Macaca mulatta: one gene and its partner. The main gene of each other region encodes a partner of the protein of the gene in region 2 in a complex. Links are inferred from orthologs where the notes say so. Each region holds a gene or a part of one and is shown on either strand. Other genes may lie near its edges. The genes, in order: ARPC5 and ARPC2.

Evidence for each region.
Region 1: ARPC2 (region 2) and ARPC5 share a complex: the UniProt entries of both Homo sapiens proteins name them as parts of the arp2/3 complex. The link is inferred for Macaca mulatta from reciprocal best matches to the Homo sapiens genes ARPC2 and ARPC5.

What each region holds. Positions count from the first base shown.
Region 1 is NC_133406.1:41,101,041-41,116,801, forward strand, and holds ARPC5 (actin-related protein 2/3 complex subunit 5), read right to left. Parts: upstream 10,081-15,761; 5' UTR 9,937-10,080; coding exon 9,793-9,936; exon of another isoform or gene 8,850-9,792; intron 7,311-8,849; coding exon 7,239-7,310; intron 4,800-7,238; coding exon 4,623-4,799; intron 1,934-4,622; coding exon 1,871-1,933; 3' UTR 547-1,870; downstream 1-546. UniProt on the Homo sapiens protein: Component of the Arp2/3 complex, a multiprotein complex that mediates actin polymerization upon stimulation by nucleation-promoting factor (NPF).
Region 2 is NC_133417.1:123,455,291-123,470,473, forward strand, and holds the end of ARPC2 (actin-related protein 2/3 complex subunit 2), read left to right. Parts: intron 1-3,155; coding exon 3,156-3,282; intron 3,283-5,102; exon of another isoform or gene 5,103-5,217; intron 5,218-5,612; exon of another isoform or gene 5,613-5,675; intron 5,676-6,715; coding exon 6,716-6,816; intron 6,817-7,156; coding exon 7,157-7,257; intron 7,258-11,615; coding exon 11,616-11,640; 3' UTR 11,641-11,829; downstream 11,830-15,183. UniProt on the Homo sapiens protein: Actin-binding component of the Arp2/3 complex, a multiprotein complex that mediates actin polymerization upon stimulation by nucleation-promoting factor (NPF).

The DNA of each region.
Region 1 (15,761 bases), on a different chromosome or scaffold from region 2:
CAGTGCACTATGATCACACCTGTGAACAGCCACCGCACTCCAGCCTGGGCAGCATAGCAAGTCCCTATCTCTAAGTAACATTTAAAAATAATACCTATTGCTTAGCTTATCTTCACCCAGGAATTGCCTGGAAGTGTTTTAAAGTGGGAATCTAGTCAGGCGCAGATCGAAACCAAACAGAAGTTGCTGTGAGTAGGTCAGTACAATAAATAGATTTGAGGTGTAAGAAAGAGAATTTTGGAGGCTGGGAATGAGTGACTGCAGCTGCTAGGCTACTTTGCACTATCTAGTCCAGGTCTTTGGGCAGTGATACTACATACAGGTATTCAGCTGCCATCCAGAGGGCTATGGAATCACTCCAAAGGCTTCAGCAGTGCTCTGACATCCTTAATGACTCTCTTCTCTATCATCTTCTATCTATATAGTCATAAAAACCCTACCAAATTGTTCCTGTTAAGAGTATAGTACTTGGTGCTAGAAGCAGAAAACCTTTCCTCTTAATTAACCATACATTCGTAAGTGTTAAAGTCAAAGAAAAATAAATTATTCAACACTGACATTTTATTTTCTGAAGTTTTATCATTTTTACAAAACAAAACAAAATGAAACAAAAAGCAGGTATCAAAATCAGCAAAGAGTTTATAGAATTTCTGCACCAGTTTGCACATAAGTCAGTGATTATAAAACTGGTGTCCAATGTAAATACTAATCACAAGCTGACTTCCTCCTTGATCAGGTGGTTTGTTTTGGAACTACTGGATATTTATAACTTTTTATAAGCACCGGTCATTTTTTGAGAACTGATTTGGTTTGTCCAACAAAGTAAACCATTTTTTGCTGTGTGGCAGTTTCTTTTTTAAAAAAACACTGAGCTAAAACACAGAATGTGTATTTGTTTGGATCTGAACCAAATCTTCTGAGATCCCAATTACCCTGAAGAACACTGAAGACATTTATGGGGCATATTAAATAGTATCTTAAATACTAGTTGTATGCCTCATAATGTCTAAGGCAGCTATTATATTTCTAAAGAAAGTAGCATTTCATTCAGAGGCTGCCCAGAGTTTGAATTACACCATAGTTTTTCTTTCTTTCTGCAAATCATTCTTTCTGATTTACAGTTTTTTTCCAAACAGAACCATATTATTGGAACAAAAGTTTGATGTTCATGCCCAACAAGCTCTGATATTTTATGGATACATTTGTATAGAGCAAGACTTCTTGCTCTGAACCCTGGGCGACCACAAATAAATTGAGAGGCCATCATTATTGGATGCTGAGAGAAAGTGGCACACTTAAACCCACAGTACAGATAATCAGGAGGCAAGCAAAAACAAAGCTAGAACTCGGTAGTGGTATTCACCCACCACTTATTCCAAAAACATATTTTGCTTAAATAAGGGAAATATGGTCCAGTTTTGCAATGTTAAGAGCTGCCAGTCTCTCATATTTTTTATAAATATCATTTCCCGACTAGCAGTGAGCTAGGAAACTGGCCTCAAATTCTAACCAAATCTCTCAGTATTAAGTAAAAATAACACAAAACAAAACAAAAAACCAGCCAATAGGGGTTAAAAATTGCACAATTAAACTTGAATGTAAATTATACTATATACAGACTGGTATAAACATCACTGAAATGGTTTTGAAAGGATGAAACATTTATATTTTAACACAATTTCTTCTATATTATCCCAATTTTCATTAAAGGAAAACTGATATGTAATTTTCTTCTTTACAGATATGAAAAAGCAAGAAGGCAAAGCTGAGAGAAACAGATGCTACCCACAGGGCAGCGGTGGCATTTGGTTGTTTTGGTCTTTGTACCAGCAATTCCCACTCCCGAGGCAGATTTCCACTTCCTGCCAGACTACACGGTTTTTCTTGCAGTCAAGACACGAACAATGGACCCTACTCCTCCAGCAGCAAGTGCCTAAAAACAAACCAAGATGTAAATGTTGACAGAATCGTAAAAGGTCAATTCTCATATTAAGTAAAACATTTTTCTTACAGAAGGAATGGTCATGGCTATAGACCCTGAATTTATCATTTAACAAATAATAAATTCTTGAACACCAATTACGCACCAGGTACTACTGTTCTTGGCACTGGGGTTACAGTAATAAACAAAACCTTGAAAGTCCCTGCCCTCATGAGCTTACAGTTTAGTGAGATACTAGTTTACATTCTAGTACATTAATTCTAAATAATGTTTTAAAAAATCTGCAGTGTAGTCTTCCTGCTCAAAACAGGTGGACATTCTGCATCTCTCATTCTCACTACACAGTCAGGAGAAAATTCAAACTGGGATCAACCATCCCAACCTCCACTTCAATTAGTTAGCCTTTGTCAGATTTTTTTCTCCCAAAGAAAGAAGGTATTGTTTAATAGTTAAGAACTTAGAAACTTTAACTCTGACTCTAATTTGAAAAACAGAGAGTAATGATCAAGTATTAGGAATCTGAGCTCTAGTTTCTTTCTGTTCAAAAATATTTATGGAATACCTTTGTATACTGAGTACTGTGCTAGATGCTGGGGATACAAAAGTGAACAAATACAGCATTTTCTGGTGTAGCACGAGGAGACAGACATATAAACAGATAATTTTAATCTAATGTATGAAATGAGAGTTGTGCTTCAGGTGCTATTAAAGCACCAGGGAGTGGTTTATACCCAGATTAACAGTACAGAGGAATGTTTCAGCTAAGGCTTCCTGGAGGAAATGACACATTAAAAGAACGAGCAGGTGACAGGCTAACACCAGAAAATCATGAGCAAATATATGGAGGTGTGAAACGATATGGTGCATTCAGGAAAAAGGCTGGCATTGCTATAGCCTGAGGGGAAGAATGACATGGAAGATGAAACCAGACTTGCGAACTTTGACTTTATCCCGCAGGTGACTGACAAGGGCAATTCTGATTTTAAAGAGATCATTCTGTTAGCTGGGTAGAGAACAGATTTGAGGGAGGCAAAACTGGTAGCTGGGAAACCAGTCAGGAAGCTATGGCAACAGACTGGGAGAGATGCTGTGAAGAGCTGCATTAGATACACTTGAACAGATAGATTTCAGAAATACTTAGAAGATTGGTAAAAACTGGTGACTGACATTTGGAAGAAATGAAGACTTCACACATGCCTCAGTTTCCTCAGCTACAAAAGAGGAATAATAGCAAACATTTCCCTCCGTTTTCATGAGGATTAAATGAGTTAATATTTATAAAGTCCTTGGAAGAGTATCTGGAATATAATAAGTGCTTAATCAATGTTCACTGCAATCTTGAGGCTATACTAGAACTAGGCTGCTTGGTTTTAAAGCTGGCTCTTCATCTGTAAATTGAGGATGATAAAGATATTTATGTATTTCATAGGGTTGTTGTAAAGATTAAACTAAAACATTAATAGTATGGTGCCTGGCAACAGAAAGTGTTCCATGAATAGGGTGCCATATAAATTACTATCCAAACTGGTACATTTTAGAGTAAAAGGGGGAACTATTTATAGTTATGATGGGACAACAAGCATAAATTGGGGCTATCCTGGGAAAACTGTGAGGAATGGTTACCCTATCCATAAATGTTAGTTCTTTTTGATAGTGTATGAGGGATAAAGTGACTTGACCAAGGCTAAACAACAAGTTTACTATGTACTTTTCTCTTATGTGTGTGTTTTCATTCGGATACACTTCAAACACTTAATATTTTTATGGCTGGTTCTATTTACATGTTATCCAGTTTTTTACCCAAAGCTCAAAATCCCTTGTACTCTTTTGACAGATGATGTACCAGCATCTACTTACATTGCAAAATATATGCATGAAAATAGAAAAAAATGATTTAAGAATTCTTGATCCTCCAAACCCCTAATTCTTTAAAAAAAAGTTGTAAAATATCTAACACAAAATTTGCCATTTTAACCATCTTTAAGCGTAAAATCCATTGGCATTAATTACATTTACAATGTATTGTAGCCATCACCACTATCTGTTTCCATAACTTTTTTACCACTCCAAGCAGGAACTCTGTACCCATTAAGCACTAACTCCCTATTCCTTACTTTTCCTACTTCCTGGTAACCTCTAAGGACTTTCTGTCCCTTTGTCTTTGCCTATCTTAGATTATTTTATATAAGTAAAATTATAAAATATTAGTTCTTTTGTATTTGGCTTATTTCACTTGGTATGTTTTCAAGGTTTACTCATGTTATAGTATGTGTCAGAATGTCATTCCTTTTTATGGTTGAATCATATTCCATTGTATGTATGTACTACAATTTACCTGTTCATCTGTTGATGATCCTTGTGTTGTTTTCACCCTTTGGTCACTGTGAAAGAATTCTTGATTTATACTGCTTATTTTCTTTTACAAAGTTTTGATTTAATTTAGAGTTCAAGATTATGTTTAATTACTAATAATCGTTGCTGAATAAACACAAGTGTTGGAATTAGAATCTCTTAAGACCAAGGCTAGTAAACATAAATATGAACTATCATTTTCATGCATTTTATTTGTAATAAAAAAATGTACAACCAAGTCAAAATGGTTATTCAGGTGAGAGAGGTCGTCACTGTCATCCCCTATTGTAAAAGAACCAGTTATGTAGATTTATAATTCATAATTTACCTTTTCATGCCATTGCAGTAACACAGCACTGCTATTGTCAGAGGGGCTCTCAAATCCTTTATAAATATACTTCATTAGGAGATCCACACCATTCTTGTCCAGAGATTGAACTGCCTTTTCAATATCATTAGCTTTAAAAGAGATGAGCACCTTCAAGACAATGCTGCCTGCCCGGTCCTGGTGAGTAAATAAATAACAGAACATTTAGACGTATCTGTATGAGGATGGTTTAGAATTTCAGAAAGGCCACACTAAGAAGGTGACATTTGAGTAAGGACCTGAAGGACGTGAAAGAGGAAGGCCTGGGATAACTGAGGAAAGTGTTTCAGACAGAGGAAAGAACACACTATTAGTGTGTGTTCAGTGTGTTCTAGGAATAGGAAAAAAACCCAATGTGGTTGGAGTGGACTGGTGGGAGAAAAGCAGGTGAGCAAGTCAGAGGTTATGGGAGGACAGATCGTGTAAGGCCTCCAGGCATTGTAAGGAGTTTGGCTTTTACTGAGAGAAATAAGAAGACATTGGAAGGTTTTAAGAGCAGTGCCATAATCTGACTCACATTTTAACAGGATCGCTTTGGCATCTACGTTACAGAGAATAAGCAGTGGGGGTAGGGGATAAGGCAGAAGCAGGGAGAGCAATTAGGAGGTAATTGCAGTAATACAGGCCGGATGTGGTGAGCACAGTAGCAGTGGAAGTGGTTAAAAACTAGACAGACTATTGACATAATTGAAGGCAGAGCCAAGAGGATTTGCTAACAGATCAATGTGATAATTTAACAATTTATTAAAACAACATTTAAATTTTATGTCTTGATCTTAAAAACAAAATTCCAACAAAACAGCCGGGTGTGGTGGCTCACAGCTGTAATCCCAGCACATCGAGAGGCCGAGATGGGCAGATCACCTGACGTCAGGAGTTCAAGACCAGCCTGGCCAAAATGGTAAAATCCTGTTTCTGCTAAAAATACAGAAATTATCCGGGCATAGTGGCAGGTGCCTGTGATCCCAGCTACTCGGGAGGCTGAGGCATGAGGATCGCTTAAATCCGGGAGGCGGAGAGTGCAGTGAGCAGAGATTGCGCCATTGCACTCCAACCTGGGCAACAGAGTGAGACTCCGTCTCAAAAAAAAAAAAAAAAAAAAAGAAACCCCACAAAACAAGGAAGCAGATTTGCATTTCTACCTTGAATTATTCTTCAGAAGTAATTTTTTCTTAAAAACTTTCTTTTAAAATTTTTAAACAAAGCTGTCTTAAAAGAAAATTGTAATTTATATGAATTGACTGTAGATACGAAATATAGTGATGTTCATTAATAATGATCTTTTTTCTTTAGCAAAAGCCTGCTTCAAAAGCAGTTATTTTCTTACCCATTCAAGCAAGCAAAGGGAACACTTAACTGACCTTTTCAACAATTCGTTTCTTCTTCCATTCAACACAAAGGGCTACCTCCAGCATTCCTACTGGTCAGGATTTCACACAATGTTTCTACTACCTATTGTTATCTTTGGTTTAAAGACTATGCAATCACCAGATTTAGAAAACATATCTTTGCATCCAGGGTAAAAATGAAATTTCAACGACATTCTTTACAACTTGTAAAAACCAAAGCAATTTTTCCCCGATAAAAAATTATGTTACCTAGATAATTATTACACATTTACCTAAGTTATTACTTACTACTACTCAATTGAGATTCTTGAAGCTCCTAGGATGTACGAATAGTTATGGACAATGAGGTTGATGCTATGGGCATCATTTTAAATAAATACTTAAATAGGCTAAGAACTACTAAAAGACTGCAGAGAATGTAAGTTGCACAACCATTCTGAAGGGCAATTTGGCAATACTACATGTACCAAAAGCCTTAAAAAAGTGCGTTCTTTGATCCAGTAATTCACTGCTAGCAATTTATTCAAAGAGAACAATTAAAAATTTACCAAAAAATATTCATTTCAGTGGTTCACAATAGGAAAAGTCAGTCTAAATATATAACAAAAGATTAGTTATGTATACACTGCAGCTTATCCATATACAACTGTTAAAAATGCTATAGAAATAAACTTATTACGAAGGAAATCTCTTGTACATTGCATACAGCCGAAAAAGCAGGTTATAAAATTTCATTCTTAAAAAACAAAAGGGAACTCTAACAATATAGCAAGGCCCCAAAGTAGTAACTGTTATCTCTGGGTAGTGGGACTATAAATGACTATCTTTTTAACCTTCCCATATGTCTGAGCTTTCTATAATAAATATTTAGTATTTGTACAGTTTTAAAAAATCTTTAAAAAGCAATTACAATCTGTTTATTTTTGTAAAGGTTTAACTTATTTTTCAAACCTTTGTTCAAATTCAGCCTGAGTGGTCTCCTCTAAAAACACACACAAATGATTTCACTATTTGAATTCACTGCATCTTACCATGCAGCATTATCATAACTACATTACAGGGCTATTTTTTCACGTGAAATTTTTACCTATCAAACTACATTATAAACTCTTCTATGTCAAAGTTAGCAAACGGTTAAAATATTGGTTTTTTTTTTTTTGCAACTGCAGAGGATTTTACTAAGAATAAGGTATCAGCAGAGATCACTGTGTTGTAGTCTGCGACTCACCTTCACTGCCTGACTCTTGGTGTTGATAGGGGGGTTCTTCAGAGCTGCCTGTAGGGCAGCTGTCATGTTTCCTGTGATGGAAGTTAAGGGTGTAGCAGCAAAGCATGGCCCCCAGGAAAGTATTATAACCACTGGTTCTGAAGACTTGCTTTATATATAAAAAGAAAATTACTGGTCACCATGTTCAATACTGGAAATTCAATGTGTTGGTTTCCAGGATGTTAATCAAGGGCAAGATATCAAAAGCAAAACAGAACATTAGACTTTCTTTTTAATAAAGCAAAGACTGTTTCACCCTTGGTTCTAACTATCAAATGAACACCTTGATAGTCTTTCATTGCCCAGTGAGATACATATGCAAACATTACCTAGAGTGGTGTTAAAGAAATCCTAGGCCGGGCGCGGTGGCTCAAGCCTGTAATCCCAGCACTTTGGGAGGCCGAGACCGGCGGATCACGAGGTCAGGAGATCGAGACCATCCTGGCGAACACGGTGAAACCCCGTCTCTACTAAAAAATACAAAAAACTAGCCGGGCGAAGTGGCGGGCGCCTGTAATCCCAGCTACTCGGGAGGCTGAGGCAGGAGAATGGCTAAACCCGGGAGGCGGAGCTTGCAGTAAGCTGAGATCCGGCCACTGCACTCCAGCCTGGGTGACAGAGCGAGACTCCCGTCTCAAAAAAAAAAAAAAAAAAAAAAAAAGAAATCCTAAAATATGTATCAGAATTATTAGTCCCCCAAATGAAATAACCTATTATCAACCAAAATATGTCTTTTCCTGTGATTCTAATTGAAAAAATAAAGACCAAACTTTTACTATATTCTATATTAACTGAAATGCTGGTAGAACATGCTGGCAGATTAGCAATCTCAATGATACACATTAGCAGTCTCTCAATATTGATGAAAAGAGGCATCACAGAAGATGTAATAATTCATATGTCCCTTAGGTGGCAGCTTAATTTTTTGCTTTAGATATTTTCTCTCATATTTCACAACGGTTATTCAAACTGTGTTAGACCATACCTATTAAATTCAGACTCTCTTTGAAAGCACTAGTGAGTTAGCAAGCATGAGAAACAGAAGGCCAATCAGACTGTCAGAATGTACCAGACATTCCCCTAAAAGGAAAACCACAGAGTTCACTTGTTCCTCCATCTCTAGTACCCCACCACTAGGGCTGTCTTTCCTGGCTGTATGTAAGGGTAAGAAAAGACAGTATCTTTTTATTTTAAGATGTACTGATCAAAAAGCGGATCCACTGATATGGACACAGCAGTCACCATAAATTACCTAAAATACATTGGGGTTTCATAAAACACCATCTATCCATCACAAATGTTTTTAGGAAGCATGTTCACCATTTATCTTCCGAAGAAAAAGTTCTCACACACACAAAATCTCTGGTTGACAAGCTGTTATTTTCAAGGCTGCAAGGATTTCTAGAGAAGCATGCCTCATGTGATTAGCTCATTTTGTATGACCCCAAGCACTTATTTAAATAATGCAAAAGAGCAACAGCTAATTAATTGTGAAAGTTGTGGCAATCAAAGGACTAGCTATATATTGATAAATGTCTAATGCTGTATTTAGGTGCCTTTAAAAAAGGATACTGTTGCCATTAAATATTTTCACTCACATTTTCCTCATATAACAGGACATTGAGTCTTCCTTATGAATACACCCAATAATTAGAAATGCATAAAAAGCCAGTGTTTGAGATTTTCTAAAACTATAGCTTCGGTTTTTTGCAACATTTACATTTTTCTAAAAAAGATGTAATGCAAATACGGAGTCAAAGTTATGAATATTCAAATATGCAAAAACAGAAACCGGGAACTGACAGCCATATTTTAACTAAAATGGAATCAATTTTAGGAATACAAAAAATTGTATTCATTCCCCTCCCCCGGTTAACAAATTCTGTGCAATGTATATTTTGTCAAATCCCCCCCTCCCTTTTTTTTCTTTTTTTAAAGGCCAATGGGCTGAAAGCATAGGGGACCTCAATTTTCAAACCGTACCATCTACCTTCTGCCCCCGGTAAGGAATAAACTATCTTAATGCTAGCAATAACAAAAACACAACAAAAAACAAAATCACTAAGGAAAGACGCAGGTTCCCCACAATCAGAAATTTCTGGAGCTAATGTGACTCCGGGAAATAGAGTTCTAGGAAGAAAAACTTAGGCGCTCGGCACCAGCCTTCCCCACCAGCCCGGGCCGCCTTCCCCAACGCCGCGAAGGCGCGGCCGGCGGGACCGGTTCCCGAGGCAGGCAGGCACTCGGGTGCAACCTGAGGAATCTGGGGGCGTGGAAGGCGCGCGGGGGAGGGCAGGCTTCCAAGAGTGGGACCCTCGCGTCTCCTGGCTCCTGAGTAGGAAACGGGGGCTTCCTCCTGCCCTCTCAGAGCGGGAGACCCCAAAGAGACAGGTTTAGCCGCAGGTAGACAGGGCAGCTCCGCGCCGGGGCCCCGCGGAACCTTCAGGCTCCCGGGTCTCTGGACAAGGGCGGGCTGGGCTGGGCTAGGGTGGGGAGGGCGGCGAATGCAAGGATATTGCCGTAGGCAGGAGTCCACCTCGCCCTCATCGGGCCCGGCCTGGCCGTCGCCCCCATCTTCTTCGTCCACGAACTTGTTCTCGTCATATTCATCCACGTCCACCTTCCGGAACCGGGCTGACGACACTGTGTTCTTCGACATCCCAATCCCTACCAGCGGCAAAGGCCTCTTCTTGGAGCTGCCTCTACCTCAGCAAGCCGAGCCCAGCAGCCCACTGCCCGGCGCCTGATTCACTTCCCTCTTCCGCTCTGGGGCGTCGCCGGCTGCCGTGGCTGGGACGGTTCTGGGCCTGCGCGCCAACCCTGCTGCTTCCTCCTCAGGTTCACGCTCTCCTGGCGCCTCCCACGCCGCCCCCACTCTTTCACGGAGAGCGCGCGCGGGGGAGGGAGGGCGCAGGACACAGCGCGCAGGCGCGGGCTCTCCGTAGGCAAGGGGCGGGGCTGGGCGAAGGAGGAGGGGGCGAGAGGGAGGGCCGAAACCTGGATCGCGGGCGGAGGTAAGAAACGATTGGTCGTCCGAGTGCGTCACGTGATTCCCAGGGGGTTCCCATAGAAACGCTTTTCTGCGGTCCAGTCTAGGGGGTCTGAGGTTGTCGGTGATGGGCAGCAGCGGCAGGTGGCATTGACTTTTGCTGCAGCCGTCAACGACCTGTCATCCGGGTCCTGCGTAAGGTCCGACTGGCTGGGACTTGGATGTGGGTGGGATGGACTTGGCTGCCGGACCGAGTGCCCTGCAGTTGGCAGGAGTATGAGGCGGAGTGATGCACACCCGGGCGCCCAGCATCGTTCTAATTGCCGGAGACGTTACCTCGGACTGTGCGCTGCTAGGGGCTGCGTTCCTGAGCGGGAAGCCCGTTTCCTGGGGTTGGAACTACCCTACTTGGCCAGCGGGAGGTCCCCAAGGACGGAGTCGAAAGGTCAAATCTTATCTGTCAGTGCTGTGTGACAGCATCACGACGGGATCTGCAGAACCTGAACTCGGTATCAAATCTACTGGGAGGGAGGGGAATGTGTCCGGGCAGGCGCTGGGGTCGGTTGGCAAAACTGGGGTGAATTTGTAGAATTTGGGAAAGGGTCATTGACATCTTAAAATAGGTGGTTGTTTGGAGCAAGAATGCTGAAAAGGGGTGAGGGTAGGTTAGGCTCTCTAGTGCTGGGGGAAAACAAAATGGGTAAGGATTGGTGGAAACCAGACCTTTAAGATTTATATTATGATTTAAGATTTATATGATTCCATCTAGGCCAGATTTTAAAAAAAATATTTGACATCCCCATTTCCGGAATGTAGGAGATAAAGGCACTAAGACGAAGGAAATGGTAGTTGTGCTGTGTGTATTACACTGAAGAACAAATATTTGCAGGATAAAATTAATTTGGACATTTGGCTGGACATTGCTCAGGTATGGGTCTAGTTTAGTTGGACCTCGAACAGAAGACTGGCTGTTGTCCTGTTGTGTGCCACAATCTTTGGTTTCCAGTGCTGTGTTGAAAAGAGCACTGGGCTTATAATCAGAAAACTCAGGCTTAAGTCTTGACTCTTCCGCTCATAATGTTTGAACGAGACATGTCACTTGAAATTCTGTCTCAGATTCCTCATCACCGAAATGGAGCTAATAATGTGCACTTTACAAGATTGTTCTTAGGATTAAATATCACGAAAGTGTTTCCAAGCTCTAAAATTCTACATAAATGTAAAATGCATGTTACTTGTACCATTGGTTTTGGGACTAGTCTTATAAATTGCTTAATAATATATGGTGTTTTATCTTGTTCCTGGAAGAGATGGAAAGATTCTGAAGGGCAGAGACAGTTTTTCTTTTGTATCTTCCTTCCATCCGACAAAAAACTAAGCATGCAGAAGGGACTCGATGCGTGCTTGATGAATGAATGAAAAATGAAAGACTGTACAGTTTGAGAATCATACTGAGAATAACAGAAGAGGGAGAGAGATCTCAAAATTAAATATTTGTTGGCTATATACGTGTAAATACATACATCCAGTCTTCTTTAAGTTCAAAAAAATACATATATATGTGTGTGTATTTATCTATGCAGTATATTATATATAAATAGAGAGTGGGAGAGAGACCTCGAGAATGGAATACATCCCTTTTTCTTGGGAAGAAGCAATGTGGCGTTTTTCTGTTCCCAATTAAACCACTCTTCTATAAGTATATCATTTAGGTGATAGAAGTAACATTGCTTTAAATTAACATTCAAGTTATGAACACACACACTGGTAAAAATTATCTTAGGACTGTCTTAAGACAGCAAAGGAAAAAATTTTACCTGTTGGTAATATTTATTTTAAAAAACCATATACCGAAGTATAAAATCATTGCTATGGTGAATGGCATTATGTAACTTAGAATAGAGATTTTACAATTTTTTTTCAGTTTGTCTTTGCTAACTTTAGTAGATGTTAATCAGTACACTTTAGCTGTTAAAGGTGATTGTACTTTTTCTTCTTTTAAATCAGTATTTTTCTTTGAAGAGAAAATCGAACAATAGAGGCACTATTGAGAGCAAATGGAAACAAGGATAGATTCAAGAGCTAATACATCTCTTCTCTTACATTTCTATTCTTTTGTATTGCCTTATTTAGGAAATTTTTTATTTTCTTATTTGAGAACTATGAAAGAATCCCAGAGTAGAAATCAGCTTAAGGGAATAGTGAGAGGAATTTAAATAATCGATTGCTCAAGGGTATAATTATTTTGATTGCTCAGAATTTTGCTCTATATGTTTAATGTGTTAAATATAATTAATTGCCAGCCAAATAATGCTTATGGCATTTAACATGTGAAAAATGTCTTTTCTAATGCAGTAAATTTTATTGTCTCACAATGATCCAAGTGCCTAGTACATACTAGGTACTCAACGTGTTTCTAGCCAATGATTTAAGGATCTGACAACTTAATTTTGGACTAACATTCAGAGATTGAGTATTTTTTAATGGGCACATAAATTACTTCTCCACCTTATTAGCTAGTTATATCTTTATAAAGCTTTAGGGAAATTTTTGTGTGTATGTGGAGAAATCTGTCCTTAATTATCTTTTAATTAGAAAGCTCATTATTTCACTTCCTTGCAAATTCTAAATTTTTAATGTTTATCATGATACTTCATTCATCTTAGGTAATATTATTTTCCTTTTAATTTTTCAAATGAGTGCTTACCCTGATATAAAAGGTTTATAAGGTTTTAAGACATTTTACTTGTTGTGCAAATAACCTAGTTTGATTCAATACCGAAGCAGGACTGAATCTGAATTTTCTCAAGGTTAATGCTGTATATGTAGTTCCTTATTTTCTGTGATGATGCAAACAGCCAAGGATCTTTTCAGTTAGAAGGGACTTTAATAAGGCTATAATAGGTCTTTCTTTTCAGACATTTTAAACCAAGGATTCTAACATATGCTTCTCTTCCCCAAACTTGCCACTAAATACTTAAACAACAAATAAAGACATTGAATCCTGGCTGGGTGCGGTGGCTCTTGCCTGTAATCCCAGAACTTTGGGAAGCCAAGGCGGGCAGATCACTTGAGGTGAGAAGTTCAAGACCAGCCTGGCCAACATGGGGAAACCCTGTCTCTACTAAAAATACAAAAAATTAGCCGGGGGTGGTGGTGCGCACCTGTAGTCCCAGTTACTTGGGAGGGTGAGGTGGGAGAGTTGCTCGAATCCGGGAGGCGGAGGTGGCAGTGAGCTGAGATCATGCCATTGCACTCCAGCCTGGGTGACAGAGTGAGACACTTCATCTCAAAAAAAAAAAAAAGATATTGAATCCTGCAACGTGACATTATTTATTTTTATTATTTGAAATAGAAGTGCAAAATCAATGCTAATCAAATATGTAAAATGTATTATAAATATAAATAAGCGAATTTCAGTTCTGGTAAGGATGCTTTAATACCAGGGTTCTCTGGCAACATAATATATATAAATATACATAATAAATAAAAATATAAAAATATTTTTAGCATGTTGTGCATAGATTATCTTATGATTTAATGCTCCTATGAATATCTGCATCAACTGGTTATGTGTTAAATTTTAAAACACGAACCTTCAAAATTTCATTTTTTCTTTGTTTCGAGTTTTTTCTTTATATAATTTTATGATTACACATTAAAGTGGAGTAGATAGGGTGAACTCTCTACTCAAACTTGTCAACTAAAAACCTGTAAGCTAAAGAAAAAAAAAAAATCTCTAAATACATTGAATTTATTTGGGAATTAGAAAGGAGGATTATAACCTGAGATGCATAGCTGTGGCAAGCTACATATGCATCAAAGAAGGGAGGATAAAGGGAAACTTTTTAAAATTTTATTTATTTATTTACTTATTTATTTGAGACGGAGTCTCGCTCTGTCGCCAGGCTGGTGTGCAGTGGCACAATCTCGGCTCACTGCAACCTCTGACTCCCTGGTTCAAGTGATTCTCCTGCCTCAGCCTCCAAAGTAGCTGGGATTACAGGCGCACGCCACCACGCCCAGCTAGTTTTTATATTTTTAGTAGGACGAGGTTTCTGCCTGTTGGCCAGGATGGTCTTGATCTCCTGACCTTGTGATCCGCCCGCCTTGGGCTCCCAAAGTACTGGGATTACAGGGGTGAGCCACCGCGCCTGGCCAAAGGGAAACTTTTATTTGGCAAAAGGAGAAGTTCACATAAGATGGTTGGAAACAGATACTGGTTTTGGATACTCAAAGTCAGACTTGGCGACATTTTAGAGGAGGAGATGCTATTACTGGGCAGGTGTTGTTTTGAGAGCATTTTATCTGAATTGCTGCAGTCCTACAGAATTTCTTATTTTAGAAAGTCCTTGAGACAAGACTTCCAAAAATGTCTTTTATCTCGTCCATGCAATCATGAACCCTACTCCTTTGTGCTCTCCTGGCTCTAGTTTGTGTTTGACAAAAAGTGATTTCATCCTGGTATCTGCAACTTTCATAAACCTTTATTCATATATTAGTACTTCAAAGATTAAAAAAAATTGTAAATCTGTACTCTTGCCTCAGGAAGAAGATTTAGTGCCAAAGAATAAGTCTTATTTTTAAAGTATTGTGAATGAGACTTTTTCATTTGATTTTTTTAACGGCTTATGATATAAAATGAAAGCTATGGACTTTAAAACATATTTATCCTGTATTCTTTCTTAGCATGGGGGTATTTTATTAATGCTAACAGTTGTTTTAAGGTTGCATCTCTTATCACACTGTATAATATTTGAGGTAATGATAATTTACATCTTCTTTTCCAATATTTCTGTCACTTATTTTATCTTATTATATATGCTAGAATGTTGAAAAGAGTGTTGAAAAATTGAGTGCTGGGCTCTTCTGCTTTGTTCCTGTCTCAATGGAAATGTCTTTGGTATTTCACCAGTTGACATATTTACTTTTGCTTTATGACTTTTAGAAATGACTGCTAAAATTATCAAATGCCTTTTATGGGGATCTAATCATAAAAATCGTATAGTTTCTATCTTTGAATTTATGAGTGTAGTGAATATATATATTTTTCTACACTGAAAAATTCCCATGTTTCTACAATAAACTCTATTTGGTTGTGAAATATTACCATTTTAATTACTTGCTGGATTTGATTAGTTTATATTTTGTTTGTGTGGTTTCAGAATTTTTTTAAAAAAGTTCAGACAGGATCACACTCTGTTGCCTAGGCTGGAGGGCAGCGGTGTGATCTTGGCTCACTGCAGCCTCGACCTCCCAGGCTCAAGCCATCCTCCCACCTCAGCCTACCGAGTAGCTGAGACCACAGGAGCACACCACTACCCCTAGCTAATTTTTGTATTTTTTTGTAGAGATGGGGTTTTGCCATGTTGTCCAGGCTGGTCTTGAACTCCTGAGCACAAGTAATCTGCCAGCCTCGGCCTCTCACAGTGCTAGGATTATAGATGTGAGGCACTGCGTGCTGCCTTTAAAAATTTTGTTCTGTAGATGCAGTG
Region 2 (15,183 bases):
TTGTCATTTGGCAAGCAGACTCTGAGGGATGCTTTTCCCCTCTCAGAAAAAGACAGGAAGTTTATTCCTCCACTCTCATGGATGTCTTACTGTTAGTGGTATGGGCGTTGATCAGCTGAGTACTGGAGAATGTCTGATAGAAGCCATCATTTCAACGCTTATTCCATGAAAAGCAGTAGGACCAGTAATCATGCTTTTGGAGATTAGCTTATGGTGAACTAGAATTCTTTTCATATTATAAGATTTTAAAGCCAAGTTAGTACTAAATAACCAGGAAGAGTTAAGTGGAAACCACCGGTTTCTGTATGTTCAGGGACAAAGACACAAGCATCTGCCTCTTAGGCAGTTGTAAAGACGTTATTTTAAGGGCCGTTTCTGCCTGTTTGCATGTGTGGTTGTGTCTGTAGGATATTTTCCTGAACTGGGAACACTAAGTCCAAGTTCAGTAATTTTGGTAGATATTGCCAAACTCTTCTCCATCAGAGTAGTAGCATTTTATCATCCACCAGTGATGGATAGAAGTGTCTGTTTTCCCAGAGTATGTTGTCAGCTTTTGGGTTTCTCCTGATCTGATAGGTTGAAAGTGATGTCTCTGTTCACTTATGAATGAGGTCAGAACATCTTTTCTTACATCGTAGACCATTTGATTTTCTTATGAAGTGTCTCTTTATGCCTTTACCCATTGTTCTGTGGGGTTATTGAGCTTCTCAATTTCTTTATATACTAGGGAGAGTACCCTTTCATCTGTGATTAAGAGTTGAAATATTTTCTCCCATTTGTCATTGGACCTTGGTTTGTGGGGTTTTTTCCCCCATGTGGAAGTTTGTTTTTGCATAATCACGTTAATCATTCTTGCCTTTTATGGCTTCCAGATTTTGAGTAAAGGGGTAGAAAACCCTTCCCTTCTCCAAGGTTATAAGGAAATTTACCTGTTATTTTCTGGGTATTTTTACAGTTACATATTTTATACATGATTTTTTATTTGTTGAGACCTCCTCTTGGTATATGGTATGAAAGAATAATCTATTTTTTTTTCTAAATGGCTATCCAGTGGTTCCAGTAGCAATTATTTCCATGTTTACACCCCTGATTTAAGATGCTACCTTTATCGTATGCTAAATTCCTTGTATATATTTGAATTTATTCTGAACTTCCTATGATAAATAGTAGTTTGGAAGAGAGAAATAGTCTGATGCTCAAAAGACGTCCTAGCCAGGAGAGTAAAAAGACAATATTGCTGAATTACATGTAACAAAGATGCCGGTGAAGATGGAGGACTGTTTGGGTGTGTTTGTTTTAAAGTTTTATTTGGGAGAGAGAACCGAGGAGAAGCAAAGACGTCAGATAATCTAAAGAATAGTCCAGCCAAAAATTAGCCGGGGATGGTGGCACACGCCTGTAATCTCAGCTACTCGTGAGGCCGAGACATGAAAATTGCTTGAACCCGGGAGGTGGAGGTTGCAGTGAGCCAGGATCGTGCCACTGCACTCTAGCCTGGGTGATAGAGTGAAACCCTGTCTCAAAAAAGAAAGAGTAGGCCCAAACCAGAAACAGATTGTTGACCGAGTCTTAAATATATTATTTTCCATATACAAAACTAATGAGTGCTAATAAGTCACCACTGGTTTATAAATACCCCATCTCATTGTGAATACCACATGTACCTGTGAATTGGAGCCTTAGAGATACTTAATAAACACAAGAAAATGCCAGCAGTTACATATCTGTTCTGTTTAATTCCTTAAGACTGAAAAGTAAAACCAGTAGAAGTTAAAAAGCTTCTTAACCCCTTTGTAGAATAAAAAATGTTTTCTAGAGAAGGGTGATTGTAGAAGCTTTGCTCTAGAAATTTCCATTTGGGATAATCTTGACTCCTTCCCTTCCTTTGCAGATATTTTTCCTTTCGGGCAGAAAATCTGTTCAAAAGGGGACTAATCTAACCCAGCTTATGGTCATTTCTTTTCCTACTTAAAGCTTGGTAGTATTAGCATGAGAGGCAGTTTGTGAAATAGGTGAGGTCCCAGGCCAGGCATTGCGGCTCCTCAGCCATCATCTTTCCTTTGCCACTAATTGCTGAGAGGGTTTGCTCATCAGTGTGTATTCTTCCTGCCTGCAACTGAAAACAGCCCTTGCCTATTCCTGTACAGTGTGATGATACTAAACCAGCTCGGATAGAAGCACTTGCATTCTCTCAGCAAGGCATATGCTGCATAGCCTCTTTGAAGGACAGAGGAATAAATTACAAAGATAAATTAAGCAGGATCTTTGATTTGAACTCATAACGTGTTGGGGGACCAGATGCATTAATGAATAGTAAAATGTCATAGTAGAGGTTTGTAGAAAAGACATGGCAGCTCCAGCAAGAGAGCAGTACCTGCCTGGGTTTGTTGGAGATGGTGTTAGGAGGTGGTATTGGAGCAGCAGTAGAAGGGCACTGCAGGCCACATGACTGTAACCATGCCTTCAGAACTCCTAAAACAAGAGACCTTGGAGAGTCCTTGGCTGCATCCTCCTGCTATCTATCATCGTCGAAGGCCCGCTTGATGAATTTGGATCATCCAGTTTTACTGGCATTGCTAGAAAATCTACTTCTGTTCTTGCAGATGTGGCTGAGAGAAGGAAGTCTTGTATTACTTGTCTATTTACATAGGAATGCATGGACTATAGAAGCTTCAGGTTTGGAGATTGAAACATAGAAGGAAGGGCTTCCTTTATGAGCACCAAGACAGCTCAGGTTCTTTCATTCCATTGTCTTCTGTCCCCAAGAAGAGCTTAAGTTTGCTCTAAAGATTTTATTGATGAATTCTAAATAGCAACAGGATCCTCAGTGAAAAAAGACTCATGCAAAGTCCCAGAGCCTAGAGAAAGTATGGTAGTTTATCACCTATGTTGGTCCAAGGGAAAAGGATTATCACTACTTTTCATCACATTTTGAAGATCTGACTTATTACTTTGAAGTCTCTTCCTTTTGAATCTGAAGTACAGTGGCAGCAGCTAGCACTTGTAATATTTCAGGTTTGGTGTAGTTTATTTGTAACCTCCTGCTGCTCTGGAGGGCTACAAAGGTCACACCGCATAGAACAAACCCCATAGCTTGAGTTGCCACTCATCTTACACCCACTTCTCTTCTGGTTGCTTTTGCTTTGTCTTGGCAGGAGTTCAAAGAAGGACGCAGAGCCAGCCACACAGCCCCACAGGTCCTCTTTAGCCACAGGGAACCTCCTCTGGAGCTGAAAGACACGGACGCCGCTGTGGGTGACAACATTGGCTACATCACCTTTGGTGAGCAGGGTGCACTTGCTGCTTGCATGCCGCTTTAATGAGTTCACACAGAATACCTAAATCTGCACAGAACCTTGGTTAACATTTTAAGGTAGGCAAAAGCAGGCGTACCAAGTTGTTCCTGTTGCCATTGCTGTGACTAAAGGAGGGATGTCACAGGGTATTAATCACAGAGCATGCCATATGCTATTTTTGTACAGTAATCATTTCATTTTTTCCCCGTTTTTCTTAAATCTTAAAAATAAGACTGAATTCTGATATCAAGAGTTAAGGTCCCTTCGATAGCTCAGCTGGTAGAGCGGAGGACTGTAGCTACTTCCTCAGTAGGAGATGTCCTTAGGTCAGTGGTTTGATTCCAGCTTGAAGGAGTACAAGTACAGTTTTGGCCAGGCATGGTGGCTCATGGCTGTAATCCCAGCACTTTGGGAAGCCAAGGCAGGCAAATCACAAGGTCAGGAGATCGAGACCATCCTGGCCAAGATGGTGAAACTCTGTCTCTACTAAAATACAAAAAAAAAAAATTAGCTGGGCATGGTGGCACACGCCTGTAGTCCCAGCTACTTGGGAGGCTAAGGCAGGAGAATTGCTTGAACCGGGGAGGCGGAGGTTGCAGTGAGCTGAGATCGCACCACTGCACTCCATCCTGGCAACAGAGCAAGACTCAGTCTCCAAAAAAAAAAAAAGAGTTAAGGAGGCTGGGTACAGTGTCTTACGCCTATAATCCTAACACTGTGGGCAGATCACCTGAGGTCAGGAGTTCGAGACCAGCCCGGCCAACATGGTGAAACTCCGTCTCTACCAAAAAAAAAAAAAACCACAAAAAAAAATTAGCTGGGCGTGGTGGCATGTGCCTGTAATCCCAGCTAGTCGGGAGGCTGAGGCACAAGAATCCCTTGAACCCAGGAGGCAGAGGTTTCAGTGAGCCAAGATCACACCATTGCACTCCAGCCTGGATGACAGAGTGAGACCTTGTCTCAAAAAGAAAAAAAGTTAAGGATAGGCCAGGCACAGTGGCTCATGCCTGTAATCCCAGCACTCTGGGAGCCCGAGGTTGTTGCGTCGCTTGAGTCCAAGAGTTTGGGACCAGCCTGGATAGCATGGCGCAACCTCATCTCTACAAAAAGCCAGGGGCCAGGCACAGTGGCTCACACCTGTAATCGCAGCACTTTGGGAGGCCAAGGCGAGCAGATCACTTGAGGTCAGGAGTTCAAGACCAACCTGGCCAACATAGTGAACCACATCTCTACTAAAAATAAAAAAATTAGTTGGACATGGTGGCATGTGCCTATAGTCCCAGCTACTTGACCAGGTGAGGCATGAGAATTGCGTAAACCTGGGAGGTGGAGGTTGCAGCAAGCTGAGATCGTCCTGCTGTGCTACAGCCTGGGAGACTGTCTCAAAAAAAAAAAAGATAGCTAGACGTGGTGTTGCATGACTATAGTCATAGCTACTTGAGAGGCTGAGGTGGGAGGATCACTTGAACCCAGGAGGTCGAGGCTGCAGTGAGCTGTGATGGCACCACTACACTCCAGCCTGGGTGACAGAGTGAGACCCTGTCTTATCAGAAAAAGGAGTTAAGAAGAGAAACCACCTAAGCAGCTAGATGGTGGTTCTCTGTCATTTGGCAATTCTTGGTTTTTTGCTTATTAAGCCCAAGCTCCAGCCATGGTCCACTTACTCCACTTTTCCATGGAGTAAATTCAGGTCTTCCTTCAGTTGCTCCAGCCTCATGCACTGGCTGATTAGGATAGCTTACAGTTTGGAATTAACAGCTCATTCACACTGCACCCGATGCCACTGGAATGTCTCCTTTGTGAAATGTAATTTAATTCACCTCAGTGGTAAAGGTGAGCCTGTTTATTGGTGATGAATCTGTTGATTTACCAAATTTCATTAAATCTAAACAATACACTTTTTTCTTTTTTCTTTCTCTCTGTCACCCAGACTGGAGTGCAGTGGTGTGATCTCGGCTCACTGCAACCTCCGCTTCCCAGGCTCAAACAATTCTCGTGCCTCAGCTTCCCGAGTAGCTGGGACTACAGGCGCATGCCACCACACCCAGCTAACGTTTGTATTTTTAGTAGAAACGGGGTTTCCGGCCGGGTGTGGTGGCTCACGCCAGTAATCCCAGCACTTTGGGAGGCCGAGGCGGGCAGATCACGAGATCAGGAGATCGAGACCATCCTGGCTAACACAGTGAAACCCCGTCTCTACTAAAAATACAAAAACTTAGCCAGGCGTGGTGGCAGGCACCTGTAGTCCCAGCTACTTGGGAGGCTGAGACAGGAGAATGGTGTGAACCTGGGAGGCGGAGCTTGCAATGAGCCGAGATCACGCCACTGCACTCCAGCCTGTGCGACAGAGCAATACTCCGTCTCAAAAACAAAACAAAACAAAACAGGGTTTCCCTATTGGCCAGGCTGATCTCAACTCCTGGCCTCAAGCAATCCACCCACTTCAGTCTCCCAAAGTGCTGGGATTACAGGCATGTGCCACCGCACCCAGCCAGCTATACCATTTTTTTCAAGTTTTTATCTTTGAAGCTGGGTGCGTCTTACAATTCATGGCATGTCATAGTTTAATTGGCAGCATTTTTCTCTTGTGGTATATAAAATTATGGCAGACTTAGAGTCATAGCCTCCCAAGTAGCTGAGATTATACAGGCACATGCCATCACATGTGGCTAATTTTTATATTTTTAGTAGAGATGGGGTTTCACCATGTTGCCCAGGCTGGTCTCGAACTCCTGATCTCAGATGATCCGCCCACCTCAGCCTCCCAAAGTGCTGGGATTACAGGCGTGAGCCACCGTGCCCGACCTCACACAGGTCTTTAGGTGGCTGGTGCCACAGGGTTGGACTTCAGTCAGGCCCAGTCAGAGCAGCTCCTCTTGCCTGGCCTATCATGAGGGTTCAGGTCCTTATACCTTATTGTCTGTTTTCACAGTGAGAATATGGGAAATTCTCTGGCATCTGTGTTCTGGGAAGGTTTACTCTATTTCAGCACCAAGGACCTAAGACAGGCAGCTGCATTTCCTAATCCTGATTCCTTAAGGTAAACTGTTATAGCCAGTTAGTGTAATCCTGGAGTGTGATTCTGGAGTGTGCCCAGCTGCACAGGCAGGAGCTAGTACATGTGTGGCAGACAGGGAATAGATTTCAAAATGCACAGCTGCAGAATCCAGGACTAGAATGAAGGCCTAGCGTCAAGCCCTGTTTTTCATCATGGGCTCCTCCGTTCACGCTCATTGACACCTTTCCTGGCCATGCTGTTTATCCTTCCATGTCAAGAAAAAACCCTGACAAAGCCTGGTAATATTGACACAAGTGGAGGGTACTTCAGCAGAGAGGGAGTGAAGTTCACTAGGCTGTTGTTCTTCCCCACCCTTTGGCATTCGTGTTGGGTCCTAACACCTTGTGTCTTCCACCTTCAGTGCTGTTCCCTCGTCACACCAATGCCAGCGCTCGAGACAACACCATCAACCTGATCCACACATTCCGGGACTACCTGCACTACCACATCAAGTGCTCTAAGGTGAGGGGGGTGCCAGCATCTCAGCCGCTATGCTCTGGGTCTTTTCCTCCACCAGAACTCATGACAAAAAGTCATTCTGTTAGTCTAGGCTGTGGATATTGACTCTTAGGTAGATAATTCTAGAGGCTTCAAGAAACCATGGTCTTTCTTCATCAAGCCACTGTCCCCCACCCCTCCCCGTAGCAGAGATGAATATTTGTTTCCAGAATTGCTCACCTTCCTGCTTTGCTGCAGGGCCTGGGTCAGTCCCAGGGTGTATGTTCCCAAACGCCTCTGATGAAAGCAAAGCTGTCTTTCTAGACCGTGACTGTGCTTCAGTACCTGTTATGTTTGTTCCCAGGCCTATATTCACACACGTATGCGGGCAAAAACATCTGACTTCCTCAAGGTGCTGAACCGCGCACGCCCAGATGCTGAGAAAAAAGAAATGAAAACAATCACGTAAGTTAGGCAGCACTCCAGCAGGACCACCTTCCTCTCCTGAGTCACCGAGAAGGAAGCAGTGGGTGCTGGTGGCCTGGTCCTCCATGTGTCTGGGCACTGGCTACATGTGAGGCCAGCAGGGCTAAGTAGATAAAACAAAGGTGGGATTCCAGGTTTTCAGTGCTGTATAGGCCCAGATGGGTTTCCTTGTTTCCATATCTTTGTGAACTCTGAGAATGGCAGCTAGGAAATAAACAAAGTTTACCAAGAGACTGTTGTTTTTGGGCCTGAGTTACGAGGTCAGTCTTGTGCTTCTGGTGTTCTTTCTGGAGAGATGGAAGAAGTTGCTTAGGGACCTTTACTTGGGTAAATAGTCCTGACGCCGCCCACTAAGCGTTCTTTCCCTGGTGTACTCTCAGCGGGAAGTTTGCATGCAGAGGAAAGTTCTCTTTATCAAGGATAGAATTGAGGAGAGCCCTGATGGGCACAGTGGCTCACGCCTGTAATTCCAGCACTTTGGGAGGCTGAGGCAGGTGGATCACGAGGTCAGGAGTTCAGGCCTAGCCTGGCCAAGATGGTGAAACCACATCTTTACTAAAAATACAAAAAAAATTAGCCGGTCGTGGTGGCAGGCGCCTGTAATCCCAGCTACTCGGGAGGCTGAGGCAGAGAATTGCTTGAGCCCAGGAGACAGAGGTTGCAATGAGCTGAGATTGTGCCACTGCACGCCAGCCTGAGCAACAGTGAGACTTCGTCTCAAAAAAAAAAAAAAAAAAAAAAAAATTTTTTTTTTTTTTTTTTTTGAGGAGAGCCCTAAATAGGGGTGTGGCTCTGCATGCAGGAAAGACGAGCATGGCCTAGAGCCTAGAGAGTTCCATCTCTGTGAAAGGTGCCAGACCTTGGTTCTTCTGATGAAATTCAGGCAGTCCTGTCCTTAAGATACAGTAATGGTGTTCATCTGCTGTTTTTTTGTTTTGTTCGTTTGTTTGTTCGTTTGTTTGGTGGGGGTAGTTGGGGGAGACAAAGTCTCATTCTGTCGCCCAGGCTGTAGTGTAGTCCAGACCTTGGTTCTACTTCTGATGAAATTCAGGCAGTCCTGTCCTTAAGATACAGTAATGGTGTTCATCTGCTGTTTTTTTGTTTTGTTCGTTTGTTTGTTCGTTTGTTTGGTGGGGGTAGTTGGGGGAGACAAAGTCTCATTCTGTCGCCCAGGCTGTAGTGTAGTCCAGACCTTGGTTCTTCTTCTGATGAAATTCAGGCAATCCTGTCCTTAAGATAAGGTAATAGTGTTCATCTGCTGTTTTTTTGTTTTGTTTGTTGTTTTTTTGGTGGGGGGAGTTGGGGGAGACAGAGTCTCATTCCGTCGCCCAGGCTGGAGTGTAGTGGCGCAATCTCAGCTCACTGTAACCTCCACCTCCCAGGTAGCTGGGACTACAGGTGCACGCCGCCACGCCCGGCTAATTTTTTGTATTTTAGTGGAGATGGGGTTTCACCATGTTGCCTGGGCTGGTCTCAAACTCGTGATCTCAGTCAATCCGCCCACCTCGGCCTCCCATCTGCTGTGTTTTGTACCAGTTGAACTAAAAGTCTTGAGATCATAAGCCTCCCTAACAGCCAGTGTATTTGCCAGCACCCCAGTACTATTGGTGTTTGTTTTGTTGTTTTGTTGTTTTTTGAGATGGAGTTTCGCTCTTGGAGCACAGGCTGGAGTGCAGAGGCACAATCTTAGCTTACTACAACCTCTGCCTCCTGGATTCAAGCAAATTCTCTTGCCTCAGCCTCCACAGCAGCTGGGACTACAGGCTTGCGCCACTAAGCCTGGCTAATTTATTTGTATTTTTAGTAGAGTCAGGGTTTCACCATTTTGGCCAGGCTGGTCTTGAACTCCTGACCTCGTGATCCGCCCACCTCAGCTTCCCAAAGGGTTGGGATTACAAGCGTGAGCCACCGCGCCTAGCCCAGTACTCTGTGATTCCCAGCCTGGAGTGCAGTGGTGCAGTCTTGCCTCACTGCAGGCTCATCCTCCTGGGCTCAAGCAATCCTCCCACCTCAGCCCCCCAAGTAGCTGGGACCACAGGCGTGCACCATCACAGCTGGCTACTTTTTTAATTTTTGTGGAGACAGGATTTCACCATGTTGTCCAGGCTGGTCTCGAACTCCTGGACTCAAGTGATCCTCCCACTTCAGCCTCCCAAAGTGTTGGAATAACAGACATCAGCCACCGCACCTGGCCCAGCACTCAGTACTCTTGAGGCAAAGTTTTAGTGGGTGTGGTATGCCTAGGGCTTTACACTCTCTCTCTTGCATTTGAGGGCTCTTCTACCAAGTTAGTTTCTGCTGCCATTTGAAAGGATGAGAAAGAGATCCAAGGACCTGAGCAGTAGGTGAGGGTTTTCAGACATTCTCAAAATGCAGTTTAAGGCAGGGTGTGGTGGCTCACCCTTGTAATCCCAGCACTTTGGGAGGCCGAGGCGGGCGGATTACCCGAGGTCAGGAGTTGGAGACCAGCCTGACCAACACGGAGAAACCCCATCTCTACTAAAAATACAAAATTAGCTGGGCATAGTGGTGCATGCCTGTAATCCCAGCTACTCTGGAGGCTGAGGCAGGAGAATCGCTTGAACCCAGGAGGCAGAGGTTGCGGCGACTGAGATCGCACCATTGCACTCCAGCCTGGGCAACAGGAGCGAAACTCGGTCTCAAAAAAAAAAAAAAAAAAAGCAGTTTAAGTCACCCCGACTTCTTTAGGTAAAGGCCTGTCTCTGTAGCAGTTCAGAGAAGAGTGTCCAAATGCCATGCAATGAAATAGCAGCATCGTTTCTTTTCTGCAGCTTCTTGGGCAGATCCTTAAATGGGCAAAGTAACCAACAAGGTGGGTGGGCAGGTGAGAGGATGTGCTCTTGCTGCTCCTCCAGAACCTGGTCTCCATCCTGGTGTCTGCATTTTCCCCTTTCCCTGCTTGCTCTACGCAGGAGTGCTTTTCTCATCAGGTACTTGTTTGGTGACCTGGAGTGTGAGGCAGAGAATTTCATGCTGCTTTCAGGGCCCAGTAGACAGGCAGTTCAGTAGAAGCCAAGAGGTAAACTGGCAGCAAGGTACAGTGAGAGGGAAGCCTGACCTGGCAGCCTGTGATAACTGGACTGGAAGGCTGGGCATCATAATAGTCTCGGGGCTGCCGGCATCACCTTTGGCACTGGTAGCTGCTTGTGCATCCAGGAGGAAGGCCTTTCAGGCAGCTGCTGCCCGATTCCACAGCCAGCAGGCAGTCTTGGGAGTCCCTGCCCAGTGAGTGCAGTTGTGTAGCGGGCAGGGATAGCTTCCTGTCCTGGTGAGAGACCCAGGAAAGGATGAATCCTTGAAATGAACAGACTGTATATAAGTCTCCTCTCTGGGACTTAGAAAGAGCAACTTTGCCTTCTTCTGTGCTGCAGCTTCTCTTTGGCAGAGTTGGGCCCCAGAAAGGAGAAGCAGGAGACAAACAGCTACATCCACCCTGAAAACCAGATTATGTTACTAATGGTGGGTAGGAGTTAAGTGACTCAGCTGTGGGCAGAAGCCAGGAACTCTCGATGGGCTGCCCAGAATTGAACACTCATGAGCTTTTCATTTGGAGAGAAGGATAATAAGGTGTAGCTTCATTTTGGAATGAGTGATACATCTAAGGCAGGGAAAATGTAGAGCCCGTGTTTTTGCCCTGATTTCCCATAGTTCTCAGCTCTAGCTTCCAGGCTGCTTTCCCAGATGCTGTTAGGTACCAGTTAGAGGCTCTGTCCTTGAGGACCACCTATCCCGTCTGGAGAAGTATTGGGTGGAACAGGACACCACAATTCAGGAGCCTCGAACCAGGCGGGTGTTGTATAAGCCAGAGGAGGAGTTACCACGTGATAGCAGAAATACCTTTAGCCTTGGAAGTTCTGAGGATTGCTTTGAACCAGCCACCTGCCTTCATGGTGAGAGATGAAGGAACTGCTATCTGGGAACCCTGAGAGGTATACGCTGTGTAGGAGGAGCTGACAAATGAGGTAGTACTAAGACGATGGTTGAGCCTAGTCAGAAATTCAGGTACATCTAGGCCATCCAAAAATTATGGACAAGTGATTCTTCTATCTAACTTGGTACATTGAATGTCCTTATGGGCTTAACACTGATATTCCTGGGCATCCGAAGTATCCGATAGGAAGGAAGAGCTGGTGAAACCGTTCTGTGAAAGCCAGATTTTAGCCCATGTCCTGTGGTTCCAGTGCCTCTGCTTAAGGAATCTAGCCCTTTCCACCTTTCATTTGGTGTTTCTTTGGGATCCCATCTAGTCTAGGAGTGTGGGGTGGGAGGAAAGGGCAGCCAGAAACTGACCTTCGCACTTATCTCTCCTTTTGAAGGGGGAAGACGTTTTCATCCCGCTAATCTTGGGAATAAGAGGAGGAAGCGGCTGGCAACTGAAGTCTGGAACACTTGCTACTGGATAATCGTAGCTTTTAATGTTGCACCTCTTCAGGTTCTTAAGGGATTCTCCGTTTTGGTTCCATTTTGTACACGTTTGGAAAATAATCTGCAGAAACGAGCTGTGCTTGCAAAGACTTCATAGTTCCCAAGAATTAAAAAAAAAAAAAAAAAAAAAAAATTTCCACTTGATCAACTTAATTCCTTTTCTTTATCTTCCCTCCCTCACTTCCCTTTTCTCCTACCCTCTTTTCCAAGCTGTTTCGCTTTGCAATATGTTACTGGTAATGAGTTGCAGGATAATGCAATCTTAACTTGTTTTCTCCTAAGTATTTGAGTTCAAAACTCCTGTATCTAAAGAAATACGGTTGGGGTCATTAATAAAGAAAATCTTTCTATCTTACATGAGAATTTACTGGGTTTCTGGACTGCGGGTCCAACGTGAGAAGAGAAGGAAGGAAGAAGGATAGACCTATACTGCCCTTGAACCTGCAAACCTAAGCTGGGAAGCCCTAGTTTCAGGAGCCCATCAGGTTTAGGTCCTCACTTCATCTAGAGGAGAGAATGGCTGGCCAGTGAACTATATTTAAACTCCTCCCCTCCCGACTGGGAGACAGGGTCTTGTTGCCTCCTGGGCTCAGGTGATCCTCCCACCTCAGCCTCCCAAGTAGCTGGGATTACAGGCGCATACCACTATGCCTGGCTAATTTTTTATATTTTTAGTAGAGATGAGGTTTCGCCATCTTTCCCAGGCTGGTCTCAAACTCCTGGACTCAGGCAATCTGCTTGCTTCAGCCTCTCAAAGTGCTGGGATTATAGGCATGAGCCATGGAACCCGAGCTATTAATACAAACTTACATGCTTCCTTGTAAAGCTTGGTCCCTGAGACTCTGTGGCTGTTCCTGAAGCTCCCTGGACAGTGACAGACAAACGGTTTTCTGGTTTTTTTATTGTGAATAATGTGTGGGATTTCCCAAAATGTGTTCCTTAGTGTGTGGTCCTGCAGGGCATTGATGGTTATTCAGGTGTATGTCTGATGCAAACTAACTGGCCACAGTTTGTCTTTCTCACATGGCAGCCCAAAAGACTGCTTTCAGGGAGAGAAGTTGTCAAAAACAGTACAGAGCCTAGTCGAGCAGCTGTCCCTCAGCAGGACTCTGGTCCTTGAAATGAAATTGCTTCAGAAAGTTTGCTTGGAGTAAGGAATTAAGAGAATTTTAAGGGCATCTGCAATGGTCTGATGGTCATTCTAATGGTTTCTGCCTTCCATCTATGGCAGTGTGTTTCATACTGGCTTGGGACCCATTAATTGTGACATAACCTGACTATATCACAACCAGCATTTTTGTTTTCTAAACTTTTGATTTTGAGATAACTAGATTTAAATACGGTTGTAAGAAACAATACAGAGAGATCCTGTATACCTTCCACTTGGTTTCCCCGCCATGCTAACATCTTGTATAATTGTTGTGTAGCATCACAGCCAAGAAAAGGTCATTGGTATAGTCCACCCACCTTCTTCAGATTTGCCGCACTGTATGTGGTGTACATCTGTGCATTGTTGTCATATGTGTAGCTTTATGTGACACCAGCATTTTTAAGCAATTGAATAGTATCAGAGTGCATCGCATCTATTAAGGGTAAGTGTTGGTTTGGAAATGTATATTAGTTACATATGCACATCATGACTGGATTATAGAAATGTCTTTTGACTGTGAGTCACAGTGGAGAATTTTGAAAACCACAGGTCGTTCAGTCATCAGACTTCGTTTTTATTTCACTAAAATGGGCTGCTAGAGAGCTCAGGGTACTCTGATAGTTCTAATTGGCTGCTCAGGGTGCCCCTGACCACTTCTGGTACTTGGAAAACCTAGATTAATTGGATATATTGACAGCAACGTGTGCATTCTCTACCTCATGAGTTATTTAAGGGGTTGTCAGGTGTAATTTTGACTAGAAGCAGTTTTTGCTCTTTTTTTATTTTAATTTTAGTTTTTAGAGACAGGGTCTCACTGTGTTGCTGAGGCTGTACTCAAGCTCCTGGCCTCCGGAGTAGCTGGGACCATAGGCACCTGCCACCGTGTCCAGCTGAGGTTTTGCTTTCTTCCTTAGTAGAACATAACTAATGTTGGAGCTCACTGTACTCTCTTGCCAGTAGCAGGAATCCAGTTTCTGGTAGGTACTGTAGATGGCAGAACCAAGATTGCTTAGAAGATATGGAGTTCGGAGAAAAATGAAAAGGCATAAATATTTTCTACAGCAGTAGATCCTAAGGAAGTAACTAGTTCCAAGACGCTTTGTCAACATTAAAAATCCATAGTGCAGGCTGAGCACAGTGGTTTACACCTGTAATTGTAGCACTTTGTGAGGATGAGGAAGGAAGACTGCTTGAGCCCAGGAGTTCAAGACCAGCCTGGGTAACAGTGAGACTCCTTCTCCATCTCTATAAAAAAACTTAATCTGGCCGGGCGTGGTGGCTCACACCTGTAATCCCAGCACTTTGGGAGGCCAAGGCGGCTGAATCACCTGAGGTCAGGTTGAGACCAGCCTGGCCAACACGGTGCAACCCCATCTCTACTAAAAATACAAATATTAGCTGGGCATGGTGGCGGGTGCTTGTAATCCCAGCTACTCTGGAGGCGGAGACAGGAGAATCACTTGAACCCAGGAGGCGGAGGTTGCATTGAGCCAAGATCATGCCATTGCACTCCAGCTTGGGCGACAAGAGCTGAACTCTCCAATAAATAATCTCACCAATAAATAAATCTGTAGTGCAGCCTGGACAACATGGCGAGACCCTGCCTCTACAAAAAATAAAAATTGGCTGGATGTGGTGGTGCATGCCTGTGGTCCCAGCTACTCGAGGCTGAGGCAGGAGGATTGCTTGAGCCCTGAAGGTCAAGCCTGTAATGAGCTGTGTGTGCCTCTCCACTCCACCCTGGGCAACAGAGTGAGACCCGGTCTCAGAAAAAAAAAATCCATACTGGTGTAAACCCCTGTCCAGATTGACTCTTAACAAGGACACACTTGGTGTTAGTACGGATCTAGCCTCAAAGACCCTCCTCACAGATGAAGCAGCCCACTGTCACCAGTTGAGGCCTTAGGACCGCAGGAAGAACGTCTGAGGATGAAGGTCAAGCACACTGAGAGTGTGGGCTGGGAAAAGGGGATCTAGTTGTTTCTTCCTAGTCTCAGGAAGCCAGTGCCCCAAGGGTTCACACCTGGGAGGTGCAGGTATATTTGGATATGGGCTGTAGAAGAACAGTTTGAATCCAGGTTCCGCCATCCAATAGCTGTGTGACAGCAAATCTCTTAATCTGAGCTCTGGTAACCTCATTTAAATTGGACATTTACCCGAGGATTTGTAAAAGGAAAAGAATAAATGTCTCTTACATGGTAAGCATTATGATGCCTGTAATTACAATGTCACTTAATGAATCTTGGTTCCCTTTATACACCCAAGGGGATCAGAAGCGACAGGCTGCTGCCCCAGCAAAGTCCCGCAGA